Styela clava: one gene and its partner. The protein of the gene in region 2 purifies or fractionates together with the protein of the main gene of each other region. This does not show direct contact. Links are inferred from orthologs where the notes say so. Each region holds a gene or a part of one and is shown on either strand. Other genes may lie near its edges.

Region 1 (16,248 bases), on a different chromosome or scaffold from region 2:
TGACTTTATATTTTGTTATTTGTGGTGATAACTGAACTGCTTATAAGTATCGCTTGTGTTCAATAAAACAATAATTTACACCAGTCTGTGGTCCTCTTTCATAGACTCAGTATTGAAAGCTCCCGGCTCTTCTATGAAATTCCTAATTGTAATTCTAACGAGTTTTCATCAGGTATTTTATGGGCCATGCCACAAGTCTACAAACAGACGCAAAGAAAATAAATGCATTACAGTCAGGTAAATGAACAAATAAAGATTATTATTATTACATTCATAGTCCATGGCCCCTAGGAGAGCCAAGGGCCCAGTTTCAAAACTCTGCTTCAAAAAGCCACTGAAATGAAAAGATCCATTATATTTGGCTGGGGGGACGGATAGATATGGACAGATAACTAGCAACACCAATGTAGTAAAGGTCTCTCAAAGTTTCGAACCATTTGAAACAACATTACCTCAGTTTCCCCATCTCTGCGTTTTGTTGATCGGTCAAAATATTACTTGTATAAAACAAAACATTGTCCGGATTCTTTTCCATTCCTCCCTAGAAGAAATAAATAAAAAATGCCGCAATTAATACGAGTAAACAGGGTGTCCATGAAGTCCCTTCACAATTTCAATTTTGTTATGAAGTTAGTTCTTAACATATCTTAACCGGGTTTGTTGTTTTTTAATCAGTAATTTTTTTTAAGTATTTTTACTTCTTCAATACAAAAGTGCCAACGATGAATGGTATCGATAAACTCCCTTTGCAATTGCCAAAAAATTTTAAGACTTTATGGACAACCTATATTACCTCTGATTAAAGATATCAATCAAGAATATGGGTTAGTGTCAACTGTCAATAGCAAATAAACCATTCATTGCATTGAATTTTGCAGTTTGTGCGAAGAGTGCTTCAAAGGTATAGGTATCGGATGTTGCATACTACATCAAAAAATAATAAGAAATCCAAGCTTAATAGCTTGAGCCAAAGTAGGTATTTGGTTGAAATATTAAATTTCAAAAGTGAGAAATAAAATGTTCACCTGTAATGTCAATGTTATAAAATTATCTGTAGACTGTTGGGCGAATGGGCACCAAGCTGTCCATCTGACTGACATTGAAAGAGGCTGAGAACGTATCGATCCTGCTGATCCTATAGTAAAGAAATAAAAGTTTCACTTCTGAGCCGATTTCACACTTCACTTTGAACAAGGATGTATACAACAACCACCAACAAGAAAATTGTTTCCTCCTAGTTCAGTATTAACTTTAAAAAAAAAACTTGAGAATTTTAAATTTTTAACCCGTGATTCTTGCATAGTTAGGTCCAATTCTCTGACAATTGAAACATTGCGTTGCAATATAATGTTTAATCCATATAACTCAAATTAAATTCTCTCAAATCAAATTACATCAAATTTGTTGGCAGTCGAATTGAAGCCAAGACTTGAGGATCAACTCTAACAGCATAGTCAAGTTATCGAATTAATCTTATCTTATTACAACATATTTTTGTTATAAAATTACCTTTAACAACAGCTTGTGAAGTATAAGGAAGAGCGAATAAATATTCAATTTGCATAACTACCGCAAGTCCAGGATCCACTACCATCTCATCTAATTGTACTCGACTTCGAAGTACTAGACATGTTGATTCAGTGCTGAAAGAAATATTATTAGAATGATTCAGGCTGTCAAGGCATGTCCTAATTCAGCTAGTATAAAAGTCTGTATATTGGCCAATACAATATTCCAGATCAGTCAACTATTGAAATATCAATTTCACAACAAGTCTAGTCACACGACACTCCTTTATTACCTAGAATCAAAGTCCAGGTCAGTAAATTTCCTCTTACAAGGACTAAAATAGTTGAACTATACAGGTTATTTACACATTTTATAAGTTTCTGATTTCAACCAACTTGACACTAATGCCCTTCATTTCATTTAACGATGTTTTCAAATTGTAATCTCCAAACATAAAATAATTATTTATCAAAGCGTTTGCTAATTTTGACAGTGCTGTAGACACAAGTAATTTAAAAAACAAGAATTGCCTTACGTATTTTTGAGGTTTTATACAAGTGAAGATATAACTTATTATAACATAAAATATGTGGTTCGCTCCAAATCGATGTGATTCGCTCCAAATACGGCCCCAAACAAGCAGCCACTGCACAGCCATCTAATCATATGTAAGAAGCTACTTTTTAACTGGAAGGACTGGACTCTTTCCAGTTCAGCACAGCATACCCAATTCATTGCAGCCTGGGTAAGGTGGGGGGGAAGGGATTTGAACCTGAGATGTGTAACCTGCAATGCCAACACAGTTAAGCCCTAATTTAACCCTAATTTTTGACTAACCGCCGGATCATCACACCCGCCAACGTGATAACATATAACCAATGTTTTAATTTGTCAAATTATTAAGGGCCTGATCGAACCTTTCCTCCTTGACTATATACTTACTATAAACCTTTTTTCGAATACTCACCTGGCGACATTGCTGGTATCTTTTCGTTTTCCTCGTCCAAAACTTCCCAACCTTGCACCCATAATTGCTTCAGGTTCTAGTTGAGCAAATTGAGGTTTTTGAATATAACAGTATCCATTATGTACACCAACCTGAAAAAAAAAAATAGAACGATATTTGAAACTTATATGTCTAAGCAATCTTGGGAATTGTATATTTTTTTGAACAGAAACATCTTCATAAAATTGGAATTCCATAATGCAAGTGGTGATAGAGCAGTGGTTCCCAAAGTTGATTGACCAGGGGCCGAAATTAAAAGAAGTGGAAGGATATATGCAAGCCAGAAGAAAGAAGCGCCCACAATGGGGCTGAAACCGATACCGGTGCATATATTCAAGATGCCGATATAATTAACTTGTTATGAATATACACCTGCTTAAACTGTGATTAAAGTATAGGATACAATTTACGAATTTACCATTAATCTCCTTTCAGTGATTGTGACAGTTTTTCCATCATCTTCAGCTTTGTCCTTTTTCAAACGATCTTGATTTATTCTCGAACAAAGTTGTGATTCGAACTTATCAACGGACATTGATCCAAAATTTAATGCAAGTGTGTCAAGATAGCATGTTTGATGAGGAAGACATTTTGGTTTCAGATAATGATCTGGTGCTAAAGTAAATTGGAAAGAAATAAATTTTTAACAAATTTAAAAACTCAAGATTTTGCGAAACAGAGAAATTTTTCTAATGAGAAAGCAAAATTGTAGCAATATGATCACTGATATGTTAGCTGGGCAAAGTTGATGTTTTATCATAAGCTGCCTAGCTTCCCAAACTAATAGGCCTATATGTAAAAATTATCAAAATTTATTTGTTTTGGTTCATGCCCTATGGTTCCATTTTAAACATTTTGTATTATTATGAATCCCATATTTTTTCATTCCACACGCGCAGTGGAAAAGTGGATTAGCTTTGGTATCCGAATCTTCAGCAAATAAACATCAAAACTCTTCTAGAAAAGCTGTTCTACTGAACCTTTATTAATACAATGCTTTCATCACTTTACTCAAAAAGGTCTTCATACAAGAAACCACTGTATTGCCTAATTATGGATTTCTGGGCTCATCACTATTGTAGGGTGGTTACATTACAGCTTTCTCCATCATCAAGTCCCTGCATCTGAAAATAAACTTCCTAACTAATCCCATACCCAACGTTCGTCATATGATTAAGCTATTTTATCGGCTTTCCTCTTCCCCCGAAATAAATATGTAAAACCTATTCTAATCAATTCAATACAACCTGAGTGAGGTGATGGGCATGACGCTCAAACCCATGATGACGACATAGTTAGCTATGATGCTTCAACTACTATCCCTGATGACTAAAAGCATCTAAAAGTGGTAATCATGAGATTGCTTTGAACAAAACATTTTGTGAATGTACCTGTGCCAGATTTGGAAAAAGCTTCTGCCATTCCAGGAAGACATTTATACGATGAAAACAAAACATTATCAGGCATTAAATGCATCACTGATTGAAGATTTTTATGTTTTTGTATAGTGTATGATAGTTGACATCCTGTAATCAGTTGGATATGTTCGTTTGCTAAAATGAAAGTAACAATTTTATCGATAAGGCATGATTGATTAGAATTGTTTTATAATCGATAATAAAAGAACACAGAGTCTCTAAATTCAGACATAATTCAAAATTGTTAGATGTAGGAAATATAGAAAGTTTTTATAGTTTTTTGTCTGTTTTATAAAAAAATGAAATTATTTCATATTTAGGTCATCTTGGAATCAATTTATTGCAGTCAAAAGCAAAAAATAACTTTGGTTCTAAAACCAGATAATTAATAACAATTATGTAGAACCAGAGAAAAATAAAATTAAAAAACATACTTTCAATGTGATCACCCATAAACAGTAATGCCCTCGGCGTTCCTTGATAGACATCCATTCTAAAAATAAGATTTTGTTTAATAATAAAAACTCATTCCCGAATAGGTGTTTAACAGATCAGGTAAACAGTTTATTAACATCATACTTCCAAAGTCTGTCATTCGTACAACAGGAATTCCCATCAGTCCTATCAAACAAGACCATTTTCAAGATAATCACCACTTGAAATCATAATATTGGTTGGCTCTTCCGCTTTCATTAAATTGCCATGTTTAAAAAAAAATGGTATTTATACTATTTAATAGCTATATCTGTTAAATGGTAAGAACAGTATAAACCAGTGGTGAGCAAGGTTTTGGACCAAGAGCCAAAATTTTTGCCCCTTATCAGGCGGTCCAGATTAAGTTACCCCTGGGCCGGATTTGGCCAGCGAGCCGTAGTTCGCCCATGTCATGTATGTACCCTCAGAACAATTTCATCATACTTTCTAACTGTAGGTGCCATCTGATCAGCGATGTCCTTCAATTGAAGTTCAGGTTTAAAAGGTCGTAAGATTCCCCATCCCAATGTTCGTTTTGTTGTAACAGATTCATCTCCAGGTAAAGGATTCTTCGGACCTCTATGCACAACAACTTCAACAACTAATATTACATTTGGATCAGTGACCGGTGAGTGAAAATATACAACCTGAAGAAAATTATAAATTTAAGCTATCAAATTCGGATAAACCAATAATATCAATAACCAATATCAGAGGCCTGATCACCATTATGAAATAAGTTTTGATTACTTGAGTATCGGTTTGGGTGAACATTCAATTTTTAATTTTTTCAGATAGATTTACTTCATAACATCACTCGTCTATTGCAAATTCTATATTACTTACAATTTCCAAATTTAGAAATGGATAAATAATTTCACTACATTTATTTTAAATCTTGGCTATGAACTGGTTCAGTCAGTCTATTGCATGATCTAGTTCTACCAGTTAATGTACCAGTATTTTTATATAAAATCATATATTTTTTTCCCAATGATTAGAAGCGATTAGTGTCACACAAATGTTTTATTTCAAATATACAGAACTCAAATATTGATAAGCAAAGACAAAAGTTCACATATTTCTGACAAATGTCCTGTTATACAAACTCATTCTTAAGTAATGAATTATATGGAAATAATGTTTCCAAAAGTGTTTGTGTGTCATCAAATAAAAATATAAAAACAGACCTTGTTTATATTTAATTCTGAACGTTGAATTGCTTCGTCTGTTGGAGAAATAGTTTTACTTTTCCAAGTTTCTCCAAGAAATTGTTGATATACCACATCATACAAACTGAGCCGGATTTCATATTGCGAGCTGTAAACTTCAGGTGCATTCTGAAATAAGAAAGTACTTCTACGATCTGCTGAACGCAATCCAAAAACAGGTGGAATGGTCGTCTCTCGCCACGAAAAATTAGAGAAACCAGTGTGTTGAAGCAATAACCGAGTATAGCCTTTATATACTCGGCTCGACGTCAACCTACGCTATGTGCCTACGTAGGTTCGAACGCTACCAGGAATGTAGCCATGTGCCAGTGGATTGCTGGACTCGCTGTCGTCAAAGGATGCAGTTGGATTTGGCATCAACCTTGGTCATGCTCATGCATATGTATCATTGCAAAATAATTAACCAAATCCCGATATTCTGGGCATCATGGATAATCACGAATGCTACTCTATGAAAAGATATTGCTTTTACAGCATCATCATGAACTACAAACAACTTATTCAAATACAATAATACAATAGTTGTAAAATGTAAATAGACCAATAACATTTTTGTCTCATCACTCATTAGTCACAACCCTACGTAGGTTCACTAGTACAAAGCCTGCAGGTGAAAATTCTGTGAAATAAAATTGCTGCATTCCTCGCCATTGCAGGACTGGTCCATTACCGTCCATATGACTGCTGCTACATTACAGACATTTCCAAAACAAAAGTTAGCTTCTTACAATGTACTACAAGTCTATAATATTACAAATTTTCAAGAAATAAAATAATGTCATGCAACCTAATTCATATATTTTAATATACCGGTATATTATATTATATATATTATTATATCTTGGAATGATAAAAAAATAAAAATGAATAAGTTTCATTACAAGAACACATTTCTTATCTAGTAATTAATTTACCTCTTTGTCATTTATAAATTTTGTTAAAATATACAAATTAATTCCGAAGCCAACATTTTTTCGTTTTTCATGCGATTCTTGTATTTTCAAATTCCAAAATCCACCCGTAGTTAATTGTCGTTTTTTATATGGGGAACGTACAATAGTTCGAAAATTTGAGAAATGTTTAATATCAGTTTCATAATTTTTCTTTAGCAGTTTATGAGCTGTACCATCCATTGTGTAAAATTGCTGAGAAATTGCATAAGATTCAAATACATCTTGTGAAGGAAGTCTAAATGATACTGTTCTCCGACGAAGATCAGTTTTACCAGTTTTTTTGGAAGAATCTGGTTCCATAATGTATCCAAAAATTATGATTATCGGAATATATTCACATTTGAATACCGTAATTAATTATTCAATCTATTTATTAGTATTCCACAACCTATCTCATTGAAATATAAATTGAGCAAAGTTTTTAAAGTTGAACATTATAATAATAATATATTCCATACACACTACCCTATGACAAGATAAATCTGTGATAAGAGCACTCAACTGTTTTAATTTCCGACTATCTGAATAACTTTCAACAGCTTCACTATTAAAGTCTCATATAGGCTACATGTTATATGGATTGTCTCTTCGCTGCCTAAACTCCGGGAAGTCGGAAAACTATATTCAATCTTAATAAACTATAGTCACACGCCTGATCATATCAATTATTCTTGTTCCGTTTGTAGTCAAAATTTCAGGGGTACATTCACAATAACCACTTTAACCTAAAAACTAGCAGATAACAAACAATACAGTACCAATAACTCTGTGGTTAGCAGGCTATATTTTATGCTTCACTAAATCTCAAGCATGGTTAAACGTAACAACATTTTCCACAAGTGTACTTTAGATGCAAAAACAAGCGAAATCAAAACCGTTGCCTGGTGTCCTTAATAAATATATCGCTATCATAAAATGACCATAAAATTTTAACAGCTCGCCTCCTTCTCAAATAAAAACTTGAGATCTTTGGTCTTAATAGGTAATAATAGTCCATTTCACTTTTTGATAATAAATTTGAAGTCCATTTGTTTTGTAGTATTTGTACCGAAAATTTAGCTTATCAAAGTCTATCATGAAGCAAGCATGGGGCAAGGATGAAGCATATATGATAGCGTGGTGTATCCATCTACCATGTTTGAGAAATGCCATTATAAACCGATCTTTGTTGAATTCGAACCATTGTTCTGGACTACAACAAACCCACACTATAAATACATCAGAAGTGTATTTGCTAAGTGGTTGTTCAAGACATTGATAGCCCGATAACGCGGTTAAGTAAACCATTTTTGGAACCTGGTATATTTGATTTATTAATTACCTAAAAAGGCGTTACTGACCTCAAACCTAGATATTGATCTAAGAGTATTTAAGAATTTAAATACTAATTAAAGATAACAAAGTTATGATCCAAAAATATAAAAGACCATGGAACTCTGATGTCACATTATTAGTTTTTTTTTTGCAAAGTGCAATAAAATAAAATTCATATTAAGACAAATTTATCCAGATTGGCTTTAACTTGCTAGCAATCTCACACAGCATTTTAAAATTTCAGAAATCTTGAATGTCCAGATATCCATTTATAAGATTTAATTCATTTAATTTAAATAGTGGCAAGTTAATATGTAACCTACTAAACCTATAAAACTAATGATAATGCTTGGTATTTAATAGCTTTGATATCCTGTGTTTTATGTCAGAGATATAATACTAGTACGTACGTCGGTACGTGATATATCAATATTTCTCATCCAAGGGCGTGACTACAAACTTGTCAAAGTAAATATGGAAGTATAATAGCCTACTCAAAATTTAATGAAAAAAATTTTCCACAGATTTTCTCAATATTTAATTGAGAATAACTCCAATAATAATCAACAATAACTTCAAAATTTAGTTTTTCAAATATTTACATTGCAAAAAAATTGGAAAAAAACATCTTCATCATTGTCCAATTTCAATAGCCTATTTTATTTTATTCTTCACTAACAAATTTTCCAGCATAGATAAAATAAATCTCAAATTGACAAGTTCCTTAGAAACAGAACATTAGTAAACACATCCTAAATATACCTCAATATTTAGCATTGAATATGAATATAGAAAAAGACTTTAAAACTGAAAATCCACTATTTCGGTGAGCCATTGCTAATCATGCCTAAAATCTTGGAACCTTCATATCCAGCTAAAAGATTATTGCATTTTCTGTTGCTTTCTCATTACAAAATCTAATTTTGTTCGTCATAAAAACTTGTAATATTGTTTATATAGTAATCAAATCCTTCGACAACCCAAACACCTCAAATCCTAACTGGTTTAAGGAAACCAATTTTTGAAATTAAAGTAAGGCAAACACATGTTCACTCCTGTGCTCTGTACCAAAATATTGACCACACTAACTCCCTTCCAGTGACATAGCATCAGTTGATTAATCTAGGATTAAATACCAACATTCAACAATGTGCTTATGAAAAGGATTACATTGCTTTATTAATGATCCTATGCATTACATTGTGAAATCACCTACAATATCAAATTTACCGGTATATTACTTTGGCATGAATGAATAAGAGTGGTGGATATTTGAAAAAAATTGCTACAGATTGAACATGAAGTTTGATGGGTATGGAATATAAAATAAATTTTGAATATTGTGATTGGTAATTTTAGACTAGAAGAAAGTCTTATACTACCGTAAATGAATTAAAGTGATTGGTAGCCAACCCAATTTGAAGAATTAATATATATATATATAACCTGGTAACCATGATTTAAATACCACTGGCCAAAACCAAATAATTTACAAATCTATCTGAATCTGAATCTAGAATAATATTTTTAAATATTCTAAATTGGGTCAAATTTAATAACAAAGAAGTCGATTTAAATTCAATGGGTTTTGTACTTGAAATATATGAAAGGTAAAATGTGATTGCTTCCTTATTCTTGTTTATAATTTAGTATTTGATTAGATTTAGACATCCTTGTATTACATATATTGATGAAAGCAAAATATGGATTAATGAGCAATGATGATTCAAAATAAGTGAAGAGTATATGAACCAAGTTTAGTTTAGCACAGGGGTGTGCAACCTGTGTGCAAATGCGGTCTTCGAGGGAAAAATTGTGTGGCCCGCGGAGAAGTGCCAATTTTGAATATGTACGAGCCACCTAACAACGTTTAAATTTAATTTGGTACGCGCGAGTGATTCCAATCCCTAGCCTATACCCAAGTCGAATTTTTTATCTATGACTTTACAATGCCTTAACAGCTTGCTTATGCAAACAACGCATGTGACATGATCAATAACCAAATTTTTGTGCTTGCAACTACTAGATAGCCTATGTTAAATACAGGTGCAGCCCATGGTTTCACCCAGTTATTTCTATCTAGCCCTCCAATAATAAAGGTTGCACAACTCTGGTTCAAACGGATTATTAACAACATTAAACGTAGAAAGATATGAGATATGAAAGATTACAAGATAAAAGAAAAGATTACAAGAAAAAACAGAGAAACTATGCTCTGCTGTATAATCACGAAATGAGCTCACCAATGATCGATATCCAGTTATCGATTGAATCTTTACTTGATAACCCGTAGAAGGTGTCACAGCTGTTCTATCATTATGTGGTTCAACATCATTAAATTCTTTCATCACAGAATGCCATGATGGCATAACTTTCTTAACCATCTTCTGACAAATATCACTTTAAAAAACAAAGGAAACGATTTAACGATGTTTAATTAGCAACTTATAGAGAAGACATATACAGTGATACCACGGAAGCATAATTCGTTCAGGATTGGTGTACGACTACTGATTTGTTCAAGTACTGAGTAACTTTTTTGCCATAGGAAACAATGGTAATTATAATAATTCGCTCTCACGCATTACAAAATACCAAAAGCATTAACAAAATGTGTACCTAAACAACGATAATTATTTGAATGTGTACATAATACAGTAATACAGATTACGGAACATAATTAAGATAAAAATATGAAACATTTATGGTCGGCGCAGATGCCATTTCGTCCGATAGTAGCTATACTTGGCAAGCTCTATATGGCGTGATTGTGACATCGTAGACTCGTAGTGACATAATTTTTGAATTACATAGTCAGGTGGGGGTTAGGTATAACATATACAAAATTCGTTATGCTTCACCCACCGGAAGTGCATGTGGTACCAAACTATACCAGGCCCCAGTTACAGTACGTTTGAGCAAATTCAGAAATTTCTGTAGCTCTATAAGATTCGTTTTCTGTGTGCGTTGACGTCATTAAAAATTGCGCAACTTGCAGACTTGTGACGGTTCCGCTTTCGCGGTAGTTGTGAGGATTGCTGTATTCAGGTATTGGCAGTATACCAGTAGACTATACCGTGATAGATTGCATACCCACACTAATTCGTTTTGGCCTTCGTGTCTATGTATTTGAGCATCGCTATTTCTGTATTTGAAATCATTTGGTCAACTACAAGTTTTTGAATAAAGAGTCGTTCAAATGCGGAGGTATCACTGTAATTGAAATAATCAATACCGGTATTCCATACCGTAGTCCAGTAGTCAGGCACCTACACCCAGCCAATGGTATAATTATGCACTTTGCTAAAATTAGCGACTGTTTTCGTCGGTATCTAGACGGTAAACGCCTTTACGTTGGTGTTTATTCTCTCTACATCACAAATTTGTTATTGTACCCCCCAACTGACTATGTTATCCAAAAATTACGTCATGGAAACCAACGCCACCATATCGCGTTCAATCTTATATCGGAAAGCAGGATATTTTTTGTTTTTGTGCCAAATAAATTCCAATGCCAAACGGAATTTTCGTATTAATATTTTAGTATCAAATCATTTTATTATAAATAGATAGTTTTTAGTTTCCATGTTTTTGTTTATCGTTTTTTAATTTAATCCCATTCCCCCCAATAGTCTACATAATATGAATAGTAAAAATCAAAATAAAGAAAGCAGGAGAAGTTACCTTTAATTTAATCCCATTCCCCCCAATACATATGAATAGTGAAAATCAAAATAAGGAAAGCAGGAGAAGTTACCTTTAATTTAATTTAATCCCATTCCCCCCAACATATGAATAGTGAAAATCAAAATAAGAAAAGCAGGATAAGTTACCTTTAAACAGCGCTCCGTCTGTGCCTTGAGAGGATTTGCGTAAAAACTTACAAAGACTTCGTTCTGAATTCAGATTTCTGGATATTCCCAAACTTTGTCGTCGATGAGATTTAGTTATTCATCATAGGCTATAGGCTACAAGCATAGCCTACATTACAGAGTTTTTTCATCATTTTGTTTGTTTTTGTTTTGATTGTCGTAACTGTAATGTACGCATGAATGGCAATGTATTTTGTCGAACTTTGACCCTCATAATATAAGAATTTGTTGATTCAAATTAAAATGTTGACATGTTTTTACTAACAAAAAATAAATGAAAAAAAACTTAAAAATTCCATTTTGTTTTGAACTGTGGATATTCAAGCGCCTTCAATTGAAAAATAATGATAACTAATGTTATCCAACGCTTAGGTATTTATGCCTATTTGTGAGAAGAATCCTAGACTCCTCAATTTAAAAAAATACTTCACCCGACTGGAAGACGTTCACAGACTCGAATACTCAATAATATACAGAAAGTTAAAATGGAGAATTCTGCAGGGCAAGCAATACTTCTCAACAAGTTTAAAACATGGGAAATATCATGTGCCCGCCCACCTGCACAAACAGAAAAATAAATTACAAAAAACACAAACCTAGTTAAAACAAGGTTTGGGCCAGAAATAAGCAAACAAAACATAGTCGAATGTATAGGAACTTCCAGGCTGTTATACTTTTGAAACGCTTAAGCTGTTGCAATAATAATGACCATTTCATTGTGAATCGTATATAGCATTGGTTCTCAAACTGGGGTCCGCGGACGCTTAGGGTCGGCAAAGCGATTTCAGGGGGACCGCAGGACAATTTTGATTGATTTAAAGTAAAATTTGTGTTTCTCCAAAGCACGACACCGTCTACCGAACACATTATTACGTAATAAACGTGGCAACGTCAGTGAATCAGAGCGTATTGTTTATGAAGGCGTGTGCTTCTAATTGTAAATTTTCTCGGGGTAATTTAAAAAATGCCTCCCCCGTCACAAAAGGTAAATTTAGATATAACAATTAAGATGTCAAATTTAGTTTTGCTGTGATAAGGTCTGGAGAAGAAGAAAAACCATAGTGGCACCGTTCTATCCCGATGTCGCTAAGATGGCACAAAAGATGCTCATTCCATTTGCAACAACTTACGGATGTGAGGCAGCTTTCTCTACATTACACGCTATTAAAACAAAATGTAGGAACATAATGAACGTGAGACACAATATAAAGGTTGCATTGCCCGAAACAGAAACCAAGGCCAAGGTAAAAGAACTAGTGGGAGCCAAGCAGGGACACCCATCTCATTGAACTGTTTTATTGATATATCGCGTTGCTATTTGCTTTAGTTTTTTTCGTGAACCGCTAGTCATCAGAAAAATTGAAAGGGGGCCGTTATGCACATTTTTACCGCGCACATATACCAAGTTGCTATTTGCTTTAGTTTCTTTAGTGAACCGCTAGTCATCAGAAAAATTGAAAGTGGGCCGTTATGCACATTTTTTCAAAAAGTTCGAGAACCACTGGTATATAAGATAAGATAGGATTTACATAATCACCCCGGGGGAGAGAAAAGCCAATAGGACGGCTAAATCATATGGCGATTTTCCAGTTTCCGCCATAATCCTTTCCGCCCTCTTTTGGACGAATGGGCCAAAAATTATATTTTTGTTGAAAAAAGATCGCATGTACATTGATTTGTGAATATACCTTTAATACTGATTACTGAATACAGGTGTCGGTGGATTACAGGTGTCGCTGCTCGATAACCGACTTTGGATTTTCGCGTCACCTTTCACCATGAAATGTCATTTTCAACTTTTTTTAAGTTTATGTCCAGTGTGAGTGCACTTTCATTTCGGTGAAATATAAACTACTGACTGAATGAATACGGTTCGGCGATGTGGCGCATTGTGCTAAGCGTTAGGAATACGCTCGCCACCGCATCCCTGATTACCCTTCGTCGAATCCCATGCGGGGATGGTCATGTGCGTGAGGATTGCTTGACTCCTCGCCGCCGTATGGCGTAGGATGGTTTACGTAACCGCTGGTCGGTTACGGCTTCCTCTACCACCAAATCCATGCTTCCGAAAACAAATACCTTGCTAACTAACCCCATACCTGGACTCTGGACTGGTAACCGGACGAGAGACCGTGGTTTGTCATATGATTAAGCCGTCTTATCGGATTTCCTCTCTCCCGGGATAAATATGTAAATCCTATCCTATCCTGGTGAAAAATTCTGTTCACAAGTGAAAACATTTAGGTATAGTCACCTACTTTTCTGATTGACAAATCGCTATAAACACCACTCTCTCTCCGTGTGGGTGTGTCGAGGGCTGGTGTTCATTGGAGAACAAAACGTGTGTATCAGTGTTCAAAAATATGAAAAAACAGCACGCAACAACAAGTGTTCGGTATTCGAATACCGTATGCTATGCCGCTTCCGAATAAATAAGCCATAATTGTTGCTGTGCTTTATCCGTCATATTCAGATTCAAATACCATACAGGTACGGGTACGGTAACGGTACTTGTTGTTGCTGCACTGTTTTTTTAAACACTGATACCGGGATGTCATCTGATCATGTAGAGTGGGAGTGGTGACTCCTCTGCGGCCCATGGGCCGGGGCCACGGCCCATCGAATTGGGCTTCGGCCCATCTAGTTGTGTAAAGAAACTATTCCCTTGGCTAACACAGACAGTCCCCGAAATCATAATAGAACTATAATGTAAAAAATCTGAATTTTTTTTGTCCTAACCCTAACCTGGCACACATACTACAGGAGTATATATTTTTTTGGTTCGAATATTGACAATTTGGTAAAATTTGAAAATTTTGTCAAAATAATTGAATTTTTCCTGATGGGGCCACGGCCCATCAAGCTATGGGCCACGGCCCATGTGGCCCGATTAGACGGGCCGTGGCCCCGGCCCATGGGCCGTAGAGGAGTCACCGCTCCTGTAGATCATGTATGTGATCGTGTATACTATGTGACGATAAGGGTACGGTAAGGAACCAACTGACCTAAGGATAGGATTCAAGAGCAACTATTGATGTTGCCTTCAATTTTCACTGTCCATGTTGCTGATGGTCTGGCAGTTGTGTACTTTCTACGTTTCTATGACTATAACTAGGCTAACCATATTTCTGAAGCAAAAAAAAAGGGACGACGCGGATTGGACAAGCCAACCTCGGTTCGATTCCAGAGGCTTAGTAATAGTTTAAACGTTTCCAATACCATTGTGGATAGATTGGGTCTAGTATAGTTTAGTACCACAAGTACTTCCAGTGGGCGTACCATAACGATTTTTGCATATGTTATTCCTAACCCTCACCTGACTATTCCATCCAAAAATTACGTCATTACGACGTCACCATAGGGGTTGCCAAAGTATAATTACGATCGCCCGAAATGGCATCTGCGCCGCCGATAAGAACTTGCTAAAGCCGGCGATCTCTCTCCTATTGTGATCGTTGCGACTAGAAAACGAGAGAAATAGCTTGCTCGATTTCGGGTTATCGTCTGCGTGTTTTGGACGACCATCCGCATACTTCGGTGGGCCTTATTACGCCACTGTGACGTCAGAATGACGTAATTTTTCGGTGACGTAGTCAGGTGGGGGTTAGGATTGACATATGCAAAAATTGTTGAGCCAGGCCAACTAGAAGTGGATGTGGTACTAAACTATACCAGACCTGATAGATTATTAAGGGTATCAAAATGAGCTGTTAATCCTGTCAAAATATCCTCTATTGCTGTATTGGCCTGCACTTTGTTCAAATATTGGAAATTGTTCAGCTCCTTATAAAACTTGTACTTTGTTTCGGCATTTCGATGATTCAACGACAGCATGGTAGGGTATTAAATTAAGGCATGGTTCATACTTCATATCATAATTATGACATAACAATTTTACTCCCTATCTGAACTAGTGAAGTGAGACGTAAATCAGCTGCATCTGTTAAAAAAATATTTTGTAATAATATCAAATAGAAAAATTATTTATGACTGCCATACTGAAAACCGGGGCATTAGAGTCTATCGCCGAGACGGCGGAAAAATATGATATAACCGGGACTGTCCTGGCTAAACCAGGACGTACAGTAAGCCTAACTAGAACCATATTTTACCCTTTGGTGGTTTTCTTCACAGTTCAAAAATATACAGAAGTATTTGTCAGTAAATCAGTGTTAGCTTCTAACAGCTGTGCTGTAGGGAATGACAATGAAGCAGTAGCAAATTTGTGATAATATCTGTTAAATAGTAAATCATGTTCAGCCACCACGCATCATCTGGAAGTGTGTTCTCGGCCAACTCAATCTTGAGAAAACTTGTCAAACCCAGCAAGGTTCATGACGAGAGTGTCATTGAAATCATCGACAATGAAACTGAGCCTGGAAACATATTTTTGATCAATGCATTAGTAACCTGTGTTATGCCAGAAGAACACGGTGGATGCAATTATGGTGTGATATATTTTGACTTGAA
Region 2 (17,285 bases):
TTAACAATACAAACGTTGTATTTTCCAAAGTCCAAAACATTATTCAATGTAATGAAGGTGAAATTTACACAGCAGTGACAAATAATTGAAACGGATAACATGCAAAAAAAAATCAAAGATATAGATACAAAATATTCTACACATATTCATCAATAACTCATATGTGCAGTGCAAAACGTCATGATCTCAACTCTTATTAAAAAGTGTTTTAAAAAGTGCATTGCTCTTTATTTAAACGAGTGATTTACTTACCAGGAATTATGAATTATGATGAGCAACATAGATGAAATTAAGAAGAAAGCACAGATTTAAATCCAATAAAAAAATACTGATTAATTATTAAAAACTTATTGAAGAATGGCACATGGATTCTCAAAAACAATCAGAATAGCAATTTGTAGGAACTTTGATGATATCAAAGGGTTTTGACCCAAAGAATGAAACTTGGAAAAATAAAGTTTTAGGAAATTGAAGAAAACTTTTTTTTCATCTTTAATCTCCTCTAATTTTTTATTGAAGTACTTTGATGAATATCTTTTCAAACTTTAGTTTGAAAACCAGTTTAAAAAGCATTTATTTGTAATTTTTCCGAATTTGACATTCACCATTTTGTTATAAAACACGTGATTTATCAAACAAGATAGAATAGCAAATGCAAGTTGAAATAGATTTGATGTTGAAATTCCAGATAACCAATTAACCGTACATATTCCCAAACTTGTAATTCAAGATTTAATTATAATATATTACATGGAAGATTATAATTTAAGTACCAGTATTTGAGAATTATCTTCACCCTCTATCATAATATTATTATCTGTTGACAGATTTATCCATTATCTGAAACGACACATCCCATTTAAATATCTATTTTACTTCATAACCAATTAAATATAAACAGATTTCAAAGAGAAATCATGAAACATGAGTAAATTACTCTATAAAATAATTATCATATTTAGTGCATAAAATTAGTGAATGCATCTTAGTATTTCTTAGTACAGTACTTTAAATTTCAAGTAATTCTAATCCATGTCTCATTAGACGAGGCAGCTAGCCTGATCATTTCAAAATAAAAGGAAAACTTCAATCTAGTTTTAATCAAAAAATATGGAAATCATCAGACTTCAAACAGGTATTAGGAACACATAGCCTACAAATTACAACACTTTTCAATCGAGCAATTTTTACTGAAATCAGCTATTCAGCATTTTTGATGATTAAGAGCTAGATAGACGAAGCAGCTACTAAATCAGAAGGTACAACACGAAAAGATTAGGTAATGTAATAAAACATGCAAAAGTTAATGTCATATATATATATATTGAATAAATATGAGTGATAATAGATATTTACCTCATTAACTGCATCTTTTATGCCTTTCCACAATGCTTTCCCACTGAAACGAAGAACAAATTGAAAGTCGCTAATTAGAAATCATTTGTAATGTTTCGCAGATGTACTTATGGTGCTAATTACCTTCTTGTTGGAGATTCACCTTCAGTTGGCGGTTGTGAAGCGGTTGCTTCTCCTGAAAACGTAAAGTTCATTTAGAATAGGCAAAAGTAAAATCACTCCGTTATAGAATGACAACAGTATTTCGCTTTTTATCGAGCTCATAACTAGCCGCTGATGCTGAAATCAAAATTCAAACGTGCATCCCAGGATTGCTAAATTATTAGAATAGGATAGGATTTTCATAATTATCCTGGGGGAGAGGGGAGCTGATAAGGCGGCTCAACCATACAACAAACCTCCCATCCAGCTACCAGACCATGTCGGGTATGGAAAAAGTATGCCACTTATTTGTTTCAGATGCGTGGACTTGATGGTGGAGGCAGTAATTCACCAGCAATCTTCTTGCACATAATTATCCTCCACACAATTCAAATCTATGAACCAGTGCAGGGTAATTAAGGATGCGATCGCAAGTGTATTTATAAGGCACAATGAGTCAAACTTCCCTCATTTTTTTTATTATTAAAAGACAATGCATTATAACCAGGGATGGCCAATTGGAATGTATTCGAATATCTCGTTATTCGAATATCGGAATTAGCGTTCATAAGAATATCGGATATTTGTGTGACGTCACACATTTTCGACGCCGCTTTCAAGACATTTCCGTTGAGTGAAAACATTCTCGATAGGAACTTGCGCGCGATTGCTTTATCAGCGGACGTGTTATTTAGGCCGTAAACGCCTTTACGTTTGTGTTATTTTCTCTAAAACGCAAATTTTCCACAAAGTTGTTCCACGATAACGATGACAATGATTTTATTTTTGTACTCGCACAGTATTGTGAATACGGAGAATACGTACATTGGCGGCGAGTTTTTAAAGAAAACACAAATTTTTTGATTGAAAACGGGCAATTTAAAATACTGAAAATAAAACTGTAAACAAAATATGTTTTATTGAAGCTCGCGACAGTTTAAAAAACGCTTTTCTAGGCAGTGAAAACCGCAAAATTCCCACATTATGTTTGGTCCGCGTTTAGAAACATATCATCACTAATTGAGTCACTAATCCATTACCTTAATTAAATTGCCGTCGAAAATTTTTGTGTTAACATCATACAAGGTCTGAAACGCAACTTTTACCGGGTTGTGAGAATATATATAATATAATTAATCTAAAGTATATTCAATCAATTTTTATTGTGCTGGAATAAATTTTACTCTGAGATTTTACGGCAGATTTATAATCGGGCAGTTCACCACACATTTTTATTTTTATGTCCGCGGATTGCTATGGCATATTAGAGTGGTGAGGATTTTATTTTGTCGACGCAACCGCAGGTTAAATTGAAACAACTAAATTAATAAGGCAAGACATTTGAAATATGCCCGTATCGGCACGAATTAATCACTTTGCACAACAGAAAAATATATATGCGTTGTTATATTATTAGAAGCAACCGCAAGTTACGTTGGACACATTAAATTAATATATAAAGCTATTTTAGAATCTCGTATTTATCATGGATTGAATAATATACGTGACGGGATGATCATTATACGCTGAAAAGACGGTTCTTTTAACGAGCACGGAATCCCGGTGGATGTTACAGACGGCAATGGGAATTTCTGATTTTGAAAATCCTGGCTGCACACCTGGCAGTGGTGGTTATCTATCCTCTAACTTATTGCTAATTTCAGACTTAACAATATGCTAAACATAATAACCACAAACTATCAATTACTTTGTATACATATACTGTTGGTTTGTGGCTTTACCCTGATATTTCTATTGAAGCTTATTTCCTATTTTACTTGGTTTTATAAACTAAAACAAAAATATGTTATTTTCGATTTTAGAATGTATTCGGAATTCCAGATTCGAAAACATTATTTTAGAATGTATTCGGAATAGTTCAGTATTCGGAAATGGCCATCCCTGAATAACAATATCTAACCTGTATCCTCCTGAAGCTGGCTCTCTTCTTCTTCATCATCATCATCTTCATATTCTTGGAGAAAATTTGATGGAACCATCCCAACATTACCATCTTCATCTTTCACTTTCCACCATCCATCATCCCTGAGAAAAGAACGAGACTTGTATTATGGGCACAAGTGGGCGCCCATAATTTGAAATAAGCTATTACAATTTCTTTTTATAACCCTGTTTGGCACGGGGTTGAATTGATCGAACACACAAATAAATCATATGGGCTATTCCAAGTGACACTACAGGACAATTCCAGAAATTTTGCATGTTTTTGGTTGCAATATATTTTCACATTTTCAGCCACATGTTTTGTTTCATTGTCCAATCAGTTGCTTTATTGAATATGTAAAAAATTGCACAAAAGTTACAACCAAGACTTGCTTAGTAGATAAAAAAAATATAGTAAAATATAGCGTGACACTACAGGACGGCAAATCCACCATGCACTAACAGTATAGTATGTTGTGTTGTGTTGTGTAAATTTATGCGATGGTACAGTAGAAGCCCATAATATTTTCTGGTGCAGTAGCTGAACTACCCCTCTATGTGTTGCTCAAGTTACTTAATGTAACACTATAAATCCATGCCAATAATGAGCATATTGTATGTGAAACTACAGGACATTTTTCCACTTCGGAATAGCGGCCTCTATCATCTCTTAAATTCTGGTAATAAATCTTAAATGGGTGAAGAAATTTTCTACAGCACTGCAAACATTTAAACTTTATTAACTTAAATCCAGTGCGTCAATTCCAAATGAAATAACTGTACCTGCACAGAAATCATCACAAAATATGTCAATTATACCAAAATTTCTACATTTCAGGCCATGTTTTATAAACCATCAAAAACCTGGGTGAAATTTTAAATTGTTCGATGAAATGAATGCAGTCCAATAAAATTCCAATGTCTTTTGATATCAAAAATTAAAAAAAATTACTTTCACTACACTTTTAAAAAAATTGATGGAATTCAACTTTGGCTTGGAATGGCCCATATATTACATTACTTTGAATGGAAAACTTCGACTGAAAATTTGATAATTTTGTCAATCTGAAGCAAAATCAAATTTAGCCAAAATCTTTAGTGGAGATATCCAAAATAAATTGATTATTCGAATACCAGTACATTCGACCCTGGATAGAAATGATATTAGATCATCACTGATTGCTACGCACATTCATGGGCTAATAACCGCAAAATAATTGCCACAATGATAAAACAATAACCTACCAGCAAAGATCAATTCGTTCAACTTGGAATCAAAATAGAGTAGTAAATGAGAGTTTGGCAGTTGACTAGTAAAATTACTTAGGATCTGATAGATTTGATAAGTGTAGACGTAGCCTACTAATTTAGTTTTTAGGGATAAAGAACTGCTGTAGCAAATCCTTTCTGGTGCAAAGTATGATTAGACACGGGTCAAACTGGCATGGATATATTTTGTTCATCACATTTCTACCTATTTAAATAATTATTATTGTTTAGATACCTGTTTTGTTTATATTTTGGGTATATCGGACTGAGTGAGAACGAACTATAATAATTACCATTTTTTCTTACATCCCAGATCTCTAGCGATCCTATTGTTATTTTACTTATGTTTTACTTACTGCCTATACACAAGTGATACAACATCCCCTTCTTCTATAGTTAGATCGCCTTCTTGTTCTCCTTTAAAATTATTAAGAACTTCATATAGTTCATCTCCATTTTCATCATCTTCATATTCTTCTTCCTCATCATCTTCTTCCTCCGTTCTATAGCAGGAACAAGAAATGAAAGAAATCGTTATTAAAAACAAAGCAACTTTTAATTTATTCAAAATAATCAAAGCAAATCTGAGTGCCCTTACTGCAAGCCGGTAGGCGGCCAGGCTGGATATTCCTACTCCTGGGAAATCTGTAATGGCACATACAGTAACTGGGTTACCATAACTGCCAGTTTATTTTGAACCCTGCATGTCTTGTCAGGATCCTGTGTGAGTAGTATACTGTGACAATTGATAAAATTCCTAAATATTCCACAGTTTATGAAATATCAAGATGAAATAGGGCTCGTTCTTACATTTTTGCATGGAGGATAGCAATCTTCGAATTTCAATTTTCAACTTAGTTTAGGATAAAAATGCGACAAATAGAGAGTAAATTGGAAATTTTCCAACAATTAACATTTTTACGGTGCTGCCATGAAACCGAACATCTTATGCAATTATGCAACATACACAATTAACTTTTTTCTGAATTGTTAAAATTGGACTTGAAACATTTAAAAAAAAAATAGATTCAAATATTTGTTGAAGTTGAAGGAAAAATTAGAGTGTGGGAATCACATTTTCAGCATTGTATTCTAGCAGACCAGATAATTAAACTACTATTTATACACAAATTATGTTAATGAAAGAATAAAAATGAAAACACTTACTCATCTCCATCTTCAACTTCTTCCTCATCATGAGTGACTCGATTCTGAGGGTGAGAAGATTGAGCGATTGGTTGTTCTTGGCTGTGGCGGAGAGACCTAGGATTCAAATGCGTTTATTATTCATAGATTCGAACCCCTCAATGCATTGCTCGCAAGAGTAAAATTTTTGTGTCATATTTTTCATGTTTCCTTGCTGATATAAATTAATTGAACATTGGGCTTGGAAAGCAAGGGAACATTAGAATCAGACAATACAAAATTCCTACGTAGCGCAATAAAATTTTGGGAGGCAAATACCCCAGGTCTAGTACAGGGTTACACAAGCACTTAGCTTCTCATGTGCCAAAGACAGACAAACCTTAAATGTTCAACTTCACTAGAAGATGATTCAACTTCGTCCATCAATGTATTCAATCGAGCCTGAAAAAAAAAGAAATAAATTTAGTCAATCAGTTCCAATTAACAATCCTGAAAATCTAACAGTAATATTTAATGAAACTAATAGTTTTCTAAAGGCCTTGCCAGAAAATAATATCACAATTCTAAATATGAATGGATTATTATTGGGTTCTTGCTCAGACAAACCTGTAATTGTTGTATCCTTTTTATCTCTTCATTCTTCTTTACATCAAAATTTTGAACTTTTTCATCGAGCTGTAAATGAGAAATAGAAAACTTTTTTGTACTAAAACTGGATTTAAACATATATTTTCGATATTATGCAATTCACGAGTCCTGCTTTTGTTACTTATGTTACAAGTATGCTACCTTTTTCAAATCATGGGCTCTCAATAATAAGGCAGAAGATCTCATTTTCATATCAATGCATGATTTATAATCTTTATTCAATGATTCCACATTGCTCGATGCATCTTTGATATATTCTCTAATGCTTTTCTCGGCAGCATCAATCTGCAATGAAAAAAATATTCCAATCAAACATGAATTCTACTTGGCCAGCTTAAAGTTCAAAATATTTATCATATAAGTCAATATATAAATGTTGATGATTTTGAACACAATAAAAAATATTCCAGAGTATGAATTTTTTTAAATTGCATGCAGGCATAAGAAGGTTAGACTAATTCTATATAATTTGCCAATGTTGAAACGGTAACAAAAAGCTTAGCATTAATAAAACAACTAGAACAATTGTGAATTTACCTCTTTTTTCAATTGATCCACCTCAATTTGTAACTGATGCAGTGGACCTTTCGCCTTTAAAGACATTTTGAATCAAAACCTAAATGACCTCTGCAAACAGTGTATGCACAAATGTCATAATACAGTAATAAAATCGAGAAACAAAATTGTTACACCAAGAAGACCAGTAGAACAATAATAGCATTGATCAAGCTTGTCCAAACTAAAAGCATCCTTATCAAGCAGCTGGCTATAAACCGAACAATGTGTCAATAACAAAATGCCATTTCATTGGTTGTGATGCATGTACAACTGTATAAATTACTAATATAATGAAGTTGTTAAACCTTTTCTCGCCACAGATCATCAAAAGCATGGCAACTTACAGACTTACGAACTTGAAATGAAGAATGCAAGAAATTTATATTATTTAGTTTTAATTTTAACATTTTTTTTCAACATATATTGATATATAAAATTTATAGTTTGAGTAATATAACATAATTTTATACAAGTAAACAGTGCATTTCAGTAATGGATTAACTGTAGGCTATTGAAAGGAAAAGAATACAATCATTACGAAATGAAAATTGAATTTTTAATTGTTTTTAAACTCGGTACGGTATTCTATTACAACATTATCAGCATATATACAGATATAGTTTATTGATTAATTTAATGTTGATTTTACCCAATAACTCAGCGCATCGGTGATAATGCAAACAAAACGGAAGATATTAGCATCAAATTATTAACCGATAATATTATTTTGATTTCTTGATCAATACAAAATAAAACCCTTAACACCAGATTATTCAGTCATTGCACAGCCAGACATCTGCCTATGGCTCTAATAACAGCTTCTGATCCCAGTACTGAGTGATACCAAAGTAGGACAATAACAGAATGATGAATATCTAACTTATATTAAAAACAAATTGAATGTGTGTCAATGCAGCAATATGTACAAATTTATGATATAATTGTCTATAATTTTACTCTTATAATCCAGTAATCACAAGTCTGTGTGCTTGTGTGTCATGTCAGTACAGCAGTACTGCAATAAGTCAAATGCAGGAATGGATAACACTGTAACATGTCGTTGAATGTTTGTTTGTAATTTTCTTTAATGAACCATCATCCGCAAAAGACTTGCCGTTAGTTTTTCAATTCTCTTTACATCTTGTGAATGTTCTGTTTCATACTGCAATCTGACCTGATCATCAGTGACCGTCAACACCAATTTACCATCACAATGTCTATATTTAATATTGTATCTTACATTATAAGGATCGCTCTGATAAAGTCTTTCAGCAGCTTTTGAAAATTCTTCCCAAGATTCAATTTTAGTCATAATACTGGATAAAATTTGAGAAAATGAGAGCAAGTGCGCACACAAACATCCGAACGTAGACAATGCCAAAACAAATGATGAAAATTGCAGTAAAAACAAATGCCATATAGCCTTGGTGTGGAGAGAGACAAAATCATTATTTATTTTTTTCACTTTGAATTCAAAACGATATGAATCTCCATGCTTTCAAAATTGGAAAATGTTGAAATCAAGAATAATTTTAATAATAGATCATATTAAAATAAAGTTTACAACTGTAATAAATAAAGATAACTTATTTATTCATATTTTATCATGTATGACTCCTCACACCCCATAACGTCTCGTATACTGTAGTTGACTGTAGTTGTTACAGCGATTTCAAACTTGTCCAGTTCAGTGGTATGGACCTTTCCCCGACCTTTGACCCCCAGAAAATTTCTTCCTATACTTAACCATGTCAAAAATTTGAAGCTTATTTTAAGAGTGGTTTTTTGAGTTGGCGTCTGTAAAATGGGGCATATGTTTCAAATCATTATTACGATTCATCGCATACAACAATCTGTTTTTTAAAACTACCGGTAAAGAATTTCAGCCTAGTCCATCAGAGCTATTTCTACACTAAATTTTTATTACTGCGATCAAATTAAAACTCCTAGGAAGACAGGGTGATCATTGAGTTATCTGATATATATTCAAATTTCCGAAACACAATTGAAAAGTAACGAATAGAGTTCAAAAACGCGAAAACGAGGTAATGTTTACGACCACGCCTGAGAATCTGTCTGAGTGAGAAAAGTGTCTGAGCGGGTGCGAAAAGGGAGCATTGTTACGTCACTTTTTGCACCTTGCTGATTGGCCAATGTCACAAAGTGAACAAGAAAGTCGATGCTCGGAGAAAGGTCCTACTATGAAACAATCGATAAAAAGACGGTTTTATCTTATGGCGAACCACGGCCCCTCGTCTGTTAATCAGTCCACGTAGGGCAGGGATCGGCAACCCCTTGCAAATTTTCCATGGCACGCCAAGTGAATTGGGGCGCACACACACGTATGCTTCCAATACTTGGCATTTTTGTTAACTTTATCCGAAGTTTAAGAGAAAGCCTGAAAAGGTATGCAATTAACCGGGGCAACTTAGTATTACATAATGAAAAGTTGAATATTATGCCATAGTTAAATTAGTGAAATTATGTTACGTGAATATGTTATACATTTGTAATATCAATTGATATGCTTGCCTTGGATTTTATTTTTATGAAATCAATGAAAGATTTGAACTTGAAGCGAAGTTTATTCATAGTCCCCATCGCAACCGACTTACGGAAGATGTGTTCGGAAGCATGTGTTCAAATGAAAGAGTTCAAATATAGTTCCGATATTACAGAGTTGAGCAAGGAAAAGCAGGAACAAGGTTCTCATTAAAAGCAAGTCTTGTGATTGTACTGGACGTTATCTAATAAAATTTATAAAATAAATTTATCTTCCCTCCGCTTACTATTCAAATCGGTAATCGGGACCGTACATTTGAACCCACGTACATACGAATCCATACATTTGCACCCGTATATCCGCGGGTTCAATCTATATGAAGGTGCTAAAATCCATGGGTTAGGGTTAGTATGGGTTCAAATATCCGTAAAAAAAATCTCCATAGGTGCAAAAGTATGCAGGTGCGATTGACGTGGGTTCGTTCAAATGTACGTGAGTTCAAATGTAATAGAACCATTCAAATCAGGTAGCTGACTATGCAAACCAAACAAATAGAAATGTTCAGTTACCCAGGTATTTTTAAATTTGTTTTTAGATGCACAAACTTGATTATGGAGGAAGCCGTAACCGGCCAGCGGTTACGTGAACCATCCTACGGCGGCGAGGAGTCCAGCAATCCTCTCGCACATACTTAACCCGGCATGAGATTCGAACCGGCGAAACCCCGCAGAAGTACGGTGGTGAGCGTATTCCTATATCGCTTAGTTAGCACGATGCGCCATACCGCCGAGTTCATTACATTTCCTGATCGACGAAGTCCATGTATATAATGCAGTGTTTCCCAACCCGAGTCCGCGGTCTCAAATGAGTCCGCAGAGCGTTTGAATGAGTCCACAACGAGCCAGAAATTCAATGCAGGCCGCAAAAGTTTTTGCGAAACCTAATTAACTATCAGCCAAGTTACGATTTACGTTAGAATTACATAAAACATGAGAAGCCAGTTTATTCAAATAACATTAATCAAGTCAATAATTACCGGTTATTGAGTAGGGCTGGGCATATAATCGCATATTCAACTATTAGAATAGCAATTTACTATACGAGAATTTGGTAACACGTGACGCGACAGGTCACTTGCGAGTCGCTTTATCAAAAGATTGGATTTCACAACTCTCTTGCGGATCTTCGACGAAAACAAGAGTCTGTAAACGCTTCGATAAATACGTAATGAGTGTTTCTCACGAGTTCGAACAACGAGGAATAATTTGTTTTTTTTCTGGTAGGTGTAAATGGTGGCAACGCAAATTTTCTAAATTGAAAAGTGGTCCGCGACCGATTATTAACGCTTTTTTAGACATTGCAAATCGCAAAATTTAATCAAAAAATTAATCGGGCACTTTACCACGCATTTTGGTGTCCACGGATCGTCATGGTATTTTCTGAGTAGTATTGCTCTTATTTAGTCAACACAACCACAGATTAAAAGGATCACACATATGGATTGAATATGTTATGCAACAGAAAAAATCATTGAAAAGTCGGCTCTTTTAACGAGTGACTAGGGCTGGGCATTTTCGAATACCTGATGATTTCAGAATCGAATCAAATATTTTTTTCGAATCGAATCTCGAATACTTGGGAGATATAAAATTGTATTCGACTTTCTTATTGTATTAGATCCTCCAGACACATAGCTCACTACAGAAAATAGTCATATGTCAGAATTGCGTTGAAAAAATATGGCTTCAATAAAAAAAATTGAGGAATTTACCTCGACCATCCGCGAAAAGATAAAAAAAAACAAGATGGCGGCGATTCGAAATTTTTCCCTGAACCGATTCGAATAATTTACTATTCGATTTGAAATGCCCAGCCCTACGAATGACGTATACGCGACGATTCCTTCAGAAGTTTTTCGCGAGAATTTTAAGGCGATGAATATGTATTTTTGATTTACTAATATATATACTTTAAATATATTTTTTATAAATACTAAATTAGGTTGTACATTCTGAAAATTTATAGCAGATTGTAGGATTTTTTCTAACGGCGATACCAAATTCGCAAGATCGATAAAAATATGTATCAAAGCCGAATTTAATCGGGCAATATATTCTCTCATTATTATGTTCGAAGACGACCGCGGAATTTCAAAGAGATGATGCTTACATCTTGTCGTAAGTCGACGCAAGTCACGCAATCGCGAGTTACCATGAACACAATTAAATTAAAATATAAAAGACAATTCTCGTCGTTGTCGTGGATTGAATATTGTGTGACAGAAAAGTCCATTATACACAAAAAAGTTTTTTAACAAACGCGTAATTGCGGCGAATTTCCGATTTTGAAATTCATTGAATTTCTGTTGTGTTTGGCTTTATTGCTTCTTCACACAGAGTATGGTTGCAATAAACGCACCTTGAGTCCGCAAAGGTTTTCGCGGATGAGAAAATAGTCTGCGACCAAAAAAGGTTAGGAAACGCTGATCTAATGAGATGAAATATTGGTACATGATGTATCTGAAGTGTCAAATGTCAAATGTTCAACAGTTACACAACATTCGACTGACAACTGAACGAGAGGACTCGGTTCACCATATATTTAGGTATTTTTATCTGCTTATCAACTCTTGTTGGGATGGCGCTTGTCATTGGTCGCAGTTCACCATACTATTGAGCCGTGTTGTAGCTTGTTACTTATCGATTTTAATCGGTAAGTATGTTGATATTTGTCTGTATTCATCATATCTCGTACCATAAGCCTATTGATTTTGGGCGAATTCTGTCGTAGTATTTATTCGCTTGGCGAAAAATGAAAATATAGCGAAATTTCGGATCTCCTAGGATTCATAAAAAATTTAGAAATAAATAAAAGTAATACCGTTCTAGCGAAATATACAATCTTTAACCACTACATATTTTAAAGCAATTGATCTATTAATGAATAAGAAAAGCGATTTTTTTCATAACAACAAGAAGAAAAATACCAACAAGATCAAGAACAACATAATAGCGAGACAATCCATAAGTGAATTTCGTGTCCAATGTATAAATTAAATAACATTTTCCTGACAGTCGTTGTTTCTAACCTTACTTTATTACCTCAAATTGGCATTATTACACATAAATCGTTTAAAGTAATAAGACGTTATCTATAATAAATTTCAGATCTTTTAGTCTCATAAAAACAAAGTAGCCTGTAGGTCGCTGCTATGACCTGTGGGTATCGATGGTTGCTTTCCAGTTCAACAGAGACGCAATGGTCAGAAAACTTTAAGATGAAACATTCTTGGTTTGAACGACAGTAATACCATTTTGTTTTTCTCCTAGTATATAGGCGGAATCCCCCATTATTATAGACCGAGTGACACATTTTCCGGAGTACAGAGAACGATAATGATGAGTGGAAATACCATTTTGGTGATTAGGAATTTCTTCTAAACCAAGTACTCTACCAGAAATTCTAATCTAACTCTTTGCCATACGATAGGAAAACATCAGGTGTTTTTTCCCCTTTTAGTCGTTCACTGTATTGGTAGGCTACTCACTTGCAAAATTCCATCATTGCTTGACTCATTTTTTTCTTCGTATGACAATAGCAAGGTGTATTTACTCATATCCTTTTAAGGACCTCTCGAATGACGAAGATCGTGAAGCTAAGTTTCTTATGATTTATTGCTCATCGTCGACCTATTTGGGTAATTGCAATGCTGCAAGAATAAGTTGCGGATAGCATATAAAAGTAAACAATGGAAAGGCGGACAATCAGTCAATATTAAACCAAGAACGTTCGCTATACCTGAAAAGAAGATTTAATGTGTGTCATGATGAACCAAAGAAGAAAATTAACCATGATATTTTTGGTTTATGCATTTGGTCTGCCGTTTAGCACTGTCCAAGGTAGGCTTATATGTTGCTTTTTTGTTAACTTTCAAACGATAAATAGTGATATTTGAATAGATTAAATATGAGCATATATATTAGTAAGTCAAATACGATAGTTAATGATTTTGCACGTTTGATATTTCTCACGCTAAATAATTTTTTAAAAAATCTTTCTCAAAGTTCAGGCGCACTCATTCATAAGATACTTTGCTATTTTGATAGATAATAAAAGTCATATATCTTGGAAACAGCTAATATTTTTGTTTAAAGAAAAAAAAGAAAAAAACAAATGTAATTTACTGCATTTCAATGCTCAATATCGTTCAATTTACAGTGCAGTTTGATTATTTATAGCATATCCCTGAAAATTGGTAGTCGGCTATTGAACTGACTTCCAATATGACTCGTTGTTTATGGTGGTATCAATTAACATTCGAACTAAATTACTTTATTTTTTATTATTAGTTGTGCGCCATTTTGATTTAGCCATTGTTACTTTTGATGAAACTGAAACCATTTCATGTTGAACAAGGCTATACATATATTCGTTGACATTCATGACATGTGAGAAGCATTTAATTGCGTTCGAAACTTTACTTGATCTGAAGAGATTTTTCACCAATGATGACTTGGCGCTCCGAATTTCGACTAGAACTAAATAGTAAGGGAATAACATTTCACTGTATTATTTTTGTAGGTAGTTGCAGCGAATGTCCACCATTGTCCAGTTGCATCAATGATGTGTGTAAATGTAGAAAAAACTTCGTTTGGAAAAATCCTTTGAGGAAGTTGGAATGCGTTTACAGAAGAAAACCAAAACCCCGCTCATTTGGAGACGGGTTGCCACCTTCGAAAACAACCACACCACGAATGATATCAATGACAAGTTCTGGAGAGAAATCGTTTGCTATGACAAAAGTCAACACCACACCCGGAAATACAACATTTATCAGCGTCTCAACAAAATCTCATTCAACTACAAATCATAATAAATCCAAAACGTTAGGATTTTGCATTCCACCTTCACCTCTGTGTATAGGAATAATTTTACTTATTCTAATTGCCGTTGCGATTTTGGTGGTTATTGGTGTAATATGCTACTGTAAGAAAAAGATGAAATCAACTTTTCAAGCTTTGCCTTAAACAAATATCATCCGAGCATAATCGGCATTCAGCCTCGACCTTCTGACCACAAGCCTATCAAAAATTACTATTTTTATTGGAAAGTTTAGTTTCTTTTGTGTCATTATAGTCAATTTTTTATTGTAGTAGCAATGAATGATGCTGCTATTTTTCATTATAATCATTAAAGTGAAAGTATTTATTTTGGCAAAAAATAGTCTTGTTTTCTTGTAGTTTTTCCCTTGCATGAGAAAGTTAGTGGGCCACAGAATTTTCATGCAACGAAAGTGGACAACGAAAGAAAAAAGGTTGAGAACCACTGGTATAGGTGAATAAATCTGTACCAACCATATACAAACAAAATTTTAGAAAAGACTATGACAATTGTGTACAGTATTAACAAGGTCAATTTTAATTTGTGACCATATATTCTTCCCGTATTTTTTATTAAATAATTTGTTAAAATTTCTTCATTCTAGTGTTTTTTAATAAAAATTTAAAATGTTGTTTTTTAACTTTAATGGTACAATACTGAATTCAATAGGCGAGGTTTTAGAAGGTTGTGCTATTTTACGCTATATGAGAATTTTTGGTGCTCCTGAAGTATGCGCACCAAGATGTCGAATAACCTGAACCCCAACCTGTACACAATCAGAGTTCAGGTTGTGCGTCATCTTGGTGCGCATACTTCAGGAGGTCCGAATTTTTATTCTTATATCAGCGACACAACGCTGCAAGACATATAATACCAAATATCATCGATGCTAGCTAAGTAAGTAGGTTACTTTGTTCACAAAATATATGCAAATCCAAATTTAAACTTATCTGATAAATATTTATATATCATCAAGATTCAAACGACCAAGAGCATATTTCAGGTATTCTGATGTCCACGCATAAGTCTAGTAACGTGAGTAAAGTGCTTTTAGACCGTAGGCACAAAGTTTGAACTTGTAGGTTGCTGGATGCTTCTCACCTTTTTAGTCTTTTAGAGCAGTGGTTCCCAACCTTTCTACCCTGGCGGACCGATAAAATTTAATTAAACGTACTCGCGAACCGGCAAAAATTGAAATGACAGGAACAGAAAAGGATAACACATATTTGCGTAATCTAATGCAATGTCGGGCACTCAATATGCTTCTAGGCAACAAAGGCACACTTAGAAACATTTCACACGATGAAAAACTATCAAATAATGTGCCGGCCAAAAATTGAAATGGGCGAAACGTAAAATAAGACCATATATTTGCGCAATGAAATGCAGTGCTGGGCACCCAATATGCCGAAGAAAGGCACACATAAAGCATCTCACATAAAAAAAACATGTACATGCCAAATCATGTATAAACACAATTAACTCTAGTGAGAATTTCGCTGCTGTTTCGTTTCCAATATAGGATTGCAAACGAGGTCTCAAAGAAGTTTCTGCAACACGTAACTCTGCAGCGGCGTGCAGCCGATTTCTCTGCTTCGTTTTAATTAAAGCCAGTGATGAGAATATTTTTTGCATAATGCATAAGTAACTGGTTGAAAATGCGGTCAACAGTTTGATTGCTCGATTACTTAGTGATGTGTATTTGTTATCAAGATATTGTGACAGTGTTTCTTATATTACTTCATATCTTACTGGAATATTATACTGTTCTTGACTGTTTTTTTGGTTCAAACAAAGAAGTATGCAGAACGTGTGTGGTTATATTAATCAGGAAAGGCATGCACAACAGAAAAAGAGCGCGTGTCAATTTTTAGGTTTCTAAATCTTGCGAGATTTGATGGAGCGTATTTGTGATGAGTCGGAGACGAAAAAGCGAAAAGTGTAATTACACGGCGCCAAGATGTTGCGAAAGACGTCGCAATATGACGTCGGAAGAGAAATTGCGTAATAAACCGACGCAACCTCATTTTCGGTAAATCGTTTGAGACGACATAAAAACGAGAATATCGGTCGGAGGCCGAAGACTCATCGTCGAAGGTCAGGGGATCCCCCAAAACAGCGCTCTTACTCCATAGTGACACCGTGTGTCCCATCACTAATTAATTAATAACTCGCTAATCATACGACATAATTCATCGAAAATCAATAAGCTTCTGATCCGAGCTATGATAAATACACATGCAAAATTTGGAGCAGATTCAACCTCGCTTTCATGAGATATCGCGTGCATCTCACAGACAGACAAACAAACAGACAAATACCTATCAACATACTTACCGATCTTAAGATCGATAAGTAACAACAAAACAATGAAATTTCTCGCGGACTGGCAAAAAAGCGGCGCGGACCGGTCCAAGGACAGGCAGTTGGGAACCACTGTGTTAGATTACCTGACAAATAGCATCTTGTCTTGATATATTGTCGACTGGTCCGCTATCTATTGTCATAACTAATCTGACCAATGAACCGTATGTCGTGATTGGCTTATAAACAGTTTTTATAGTATTATATAACAAGAACTTGAACAAGAATCTTACAATATTGTCTTGCTTTCAACTAGTGGGCCGATGGATTTCGAATTTTCAGAATTAAAAAAAAGATGCTCTGAGCCGCTATTAAGCTATTACTCTTTACTACTGTCAAAGTTTCTCCGTGTCCCACCCGATATTTCACCCCAAACTTTGTTATTCTCACATATATATATATTAAGCTATCACGTGTCATTCATTCTGACATCTTTTCGACAAAGCCAGTGCTCAGCTATGTCTTTACTGTTACC

The links.
Region 1: the proteins of nephrocystin-1-like (region 2) and nephrocystin-4-like purify together in Homo sapiens (co-immunoprecipitation; 6 studies listed by BioGRID and IntAct, with this or other methods). This does not show direct contact. The link is inferred for Styela clava from reciprocal best matches to the Homo sapiens genes NPHP1 and NPHP4.

The regions. Positions count from the first base shown.
Region 1 is NC_135256.1:22,125,123-22,141,370, forward strand, and holds the start of nephrocystin-4-like, read right to left. Parts: upstream 6,921-16,248; 5' UTR 6,893-6,920; coding exon 6,554-6,892; intron 5,748-6,553; coding exon 5,598-5,747; intron 5,055-5,597; coding exon 4,852-5,054; intron 4,427-4,851; coding exon 4,368-4,426; intron 4,069-4,367; coding exon 3,907-4,068; intron 3,131-3,906; coding exon 2,934-3,130; intron 2,608-2,933; coding exon 2,477-2,607; intron 1,644-2,476; coding exon 1,510-1,643; intron 1,136-1,509; coding exon 1,026-1,135; intron 542-1,025; coding exon 453-541; intron 1-452. Other genes in the region: DNA repair protein XRCC2-like, read left to right, coding at 16,031-16,248. UniProt on the Homo sapiens protein: Involved in the organization of apical junctions; the function is proposed to implicate a NPHP1-4-8 module. Does not seem to be strictly required for ciliogenesis. Required for building functional cilia.
Region 2 is NC_135251.1:26,438,067-26,455,351, reverse strand, and holds the start of nephrocystin-1-like, read right to left. Parts: upstream 8,152-17,285; 5' UTR 7,108-8,151; coding exon 7,042-7,107; intron 6,790-7,041; coding exon 6,646-6,789; intron 6,532-6,645; coding exon 6,463-6,531; intron 6,298-6,462; coding exon 6,236-6,297; intron 5,974-6,235; coding exon 5,878-5,973; intron 5,214-5,877; coding exon 5,067-5,213; intron 3,544-5,066; coding exon 3,419-3,543; intron 1,532-3,418; coding exon 1,480-1,531; intron 1,400-1,479; coding exon 1,357-1,399; intron 1-1,356. Other genes in the region: uncharacterized protein LOC120336336, read left to right, coding at 13,380-13,464, 14,147-14,592. UniProt on the Homo sapiens protein: Together with BCAR1 it may play a role in the control of epithelial cell polarity. Involved in the organization of apical junctions in kidney cells together with NPHP4 and RPGRIP1L/NPHP8. Does not seem to be strictly required for ciliogenesis.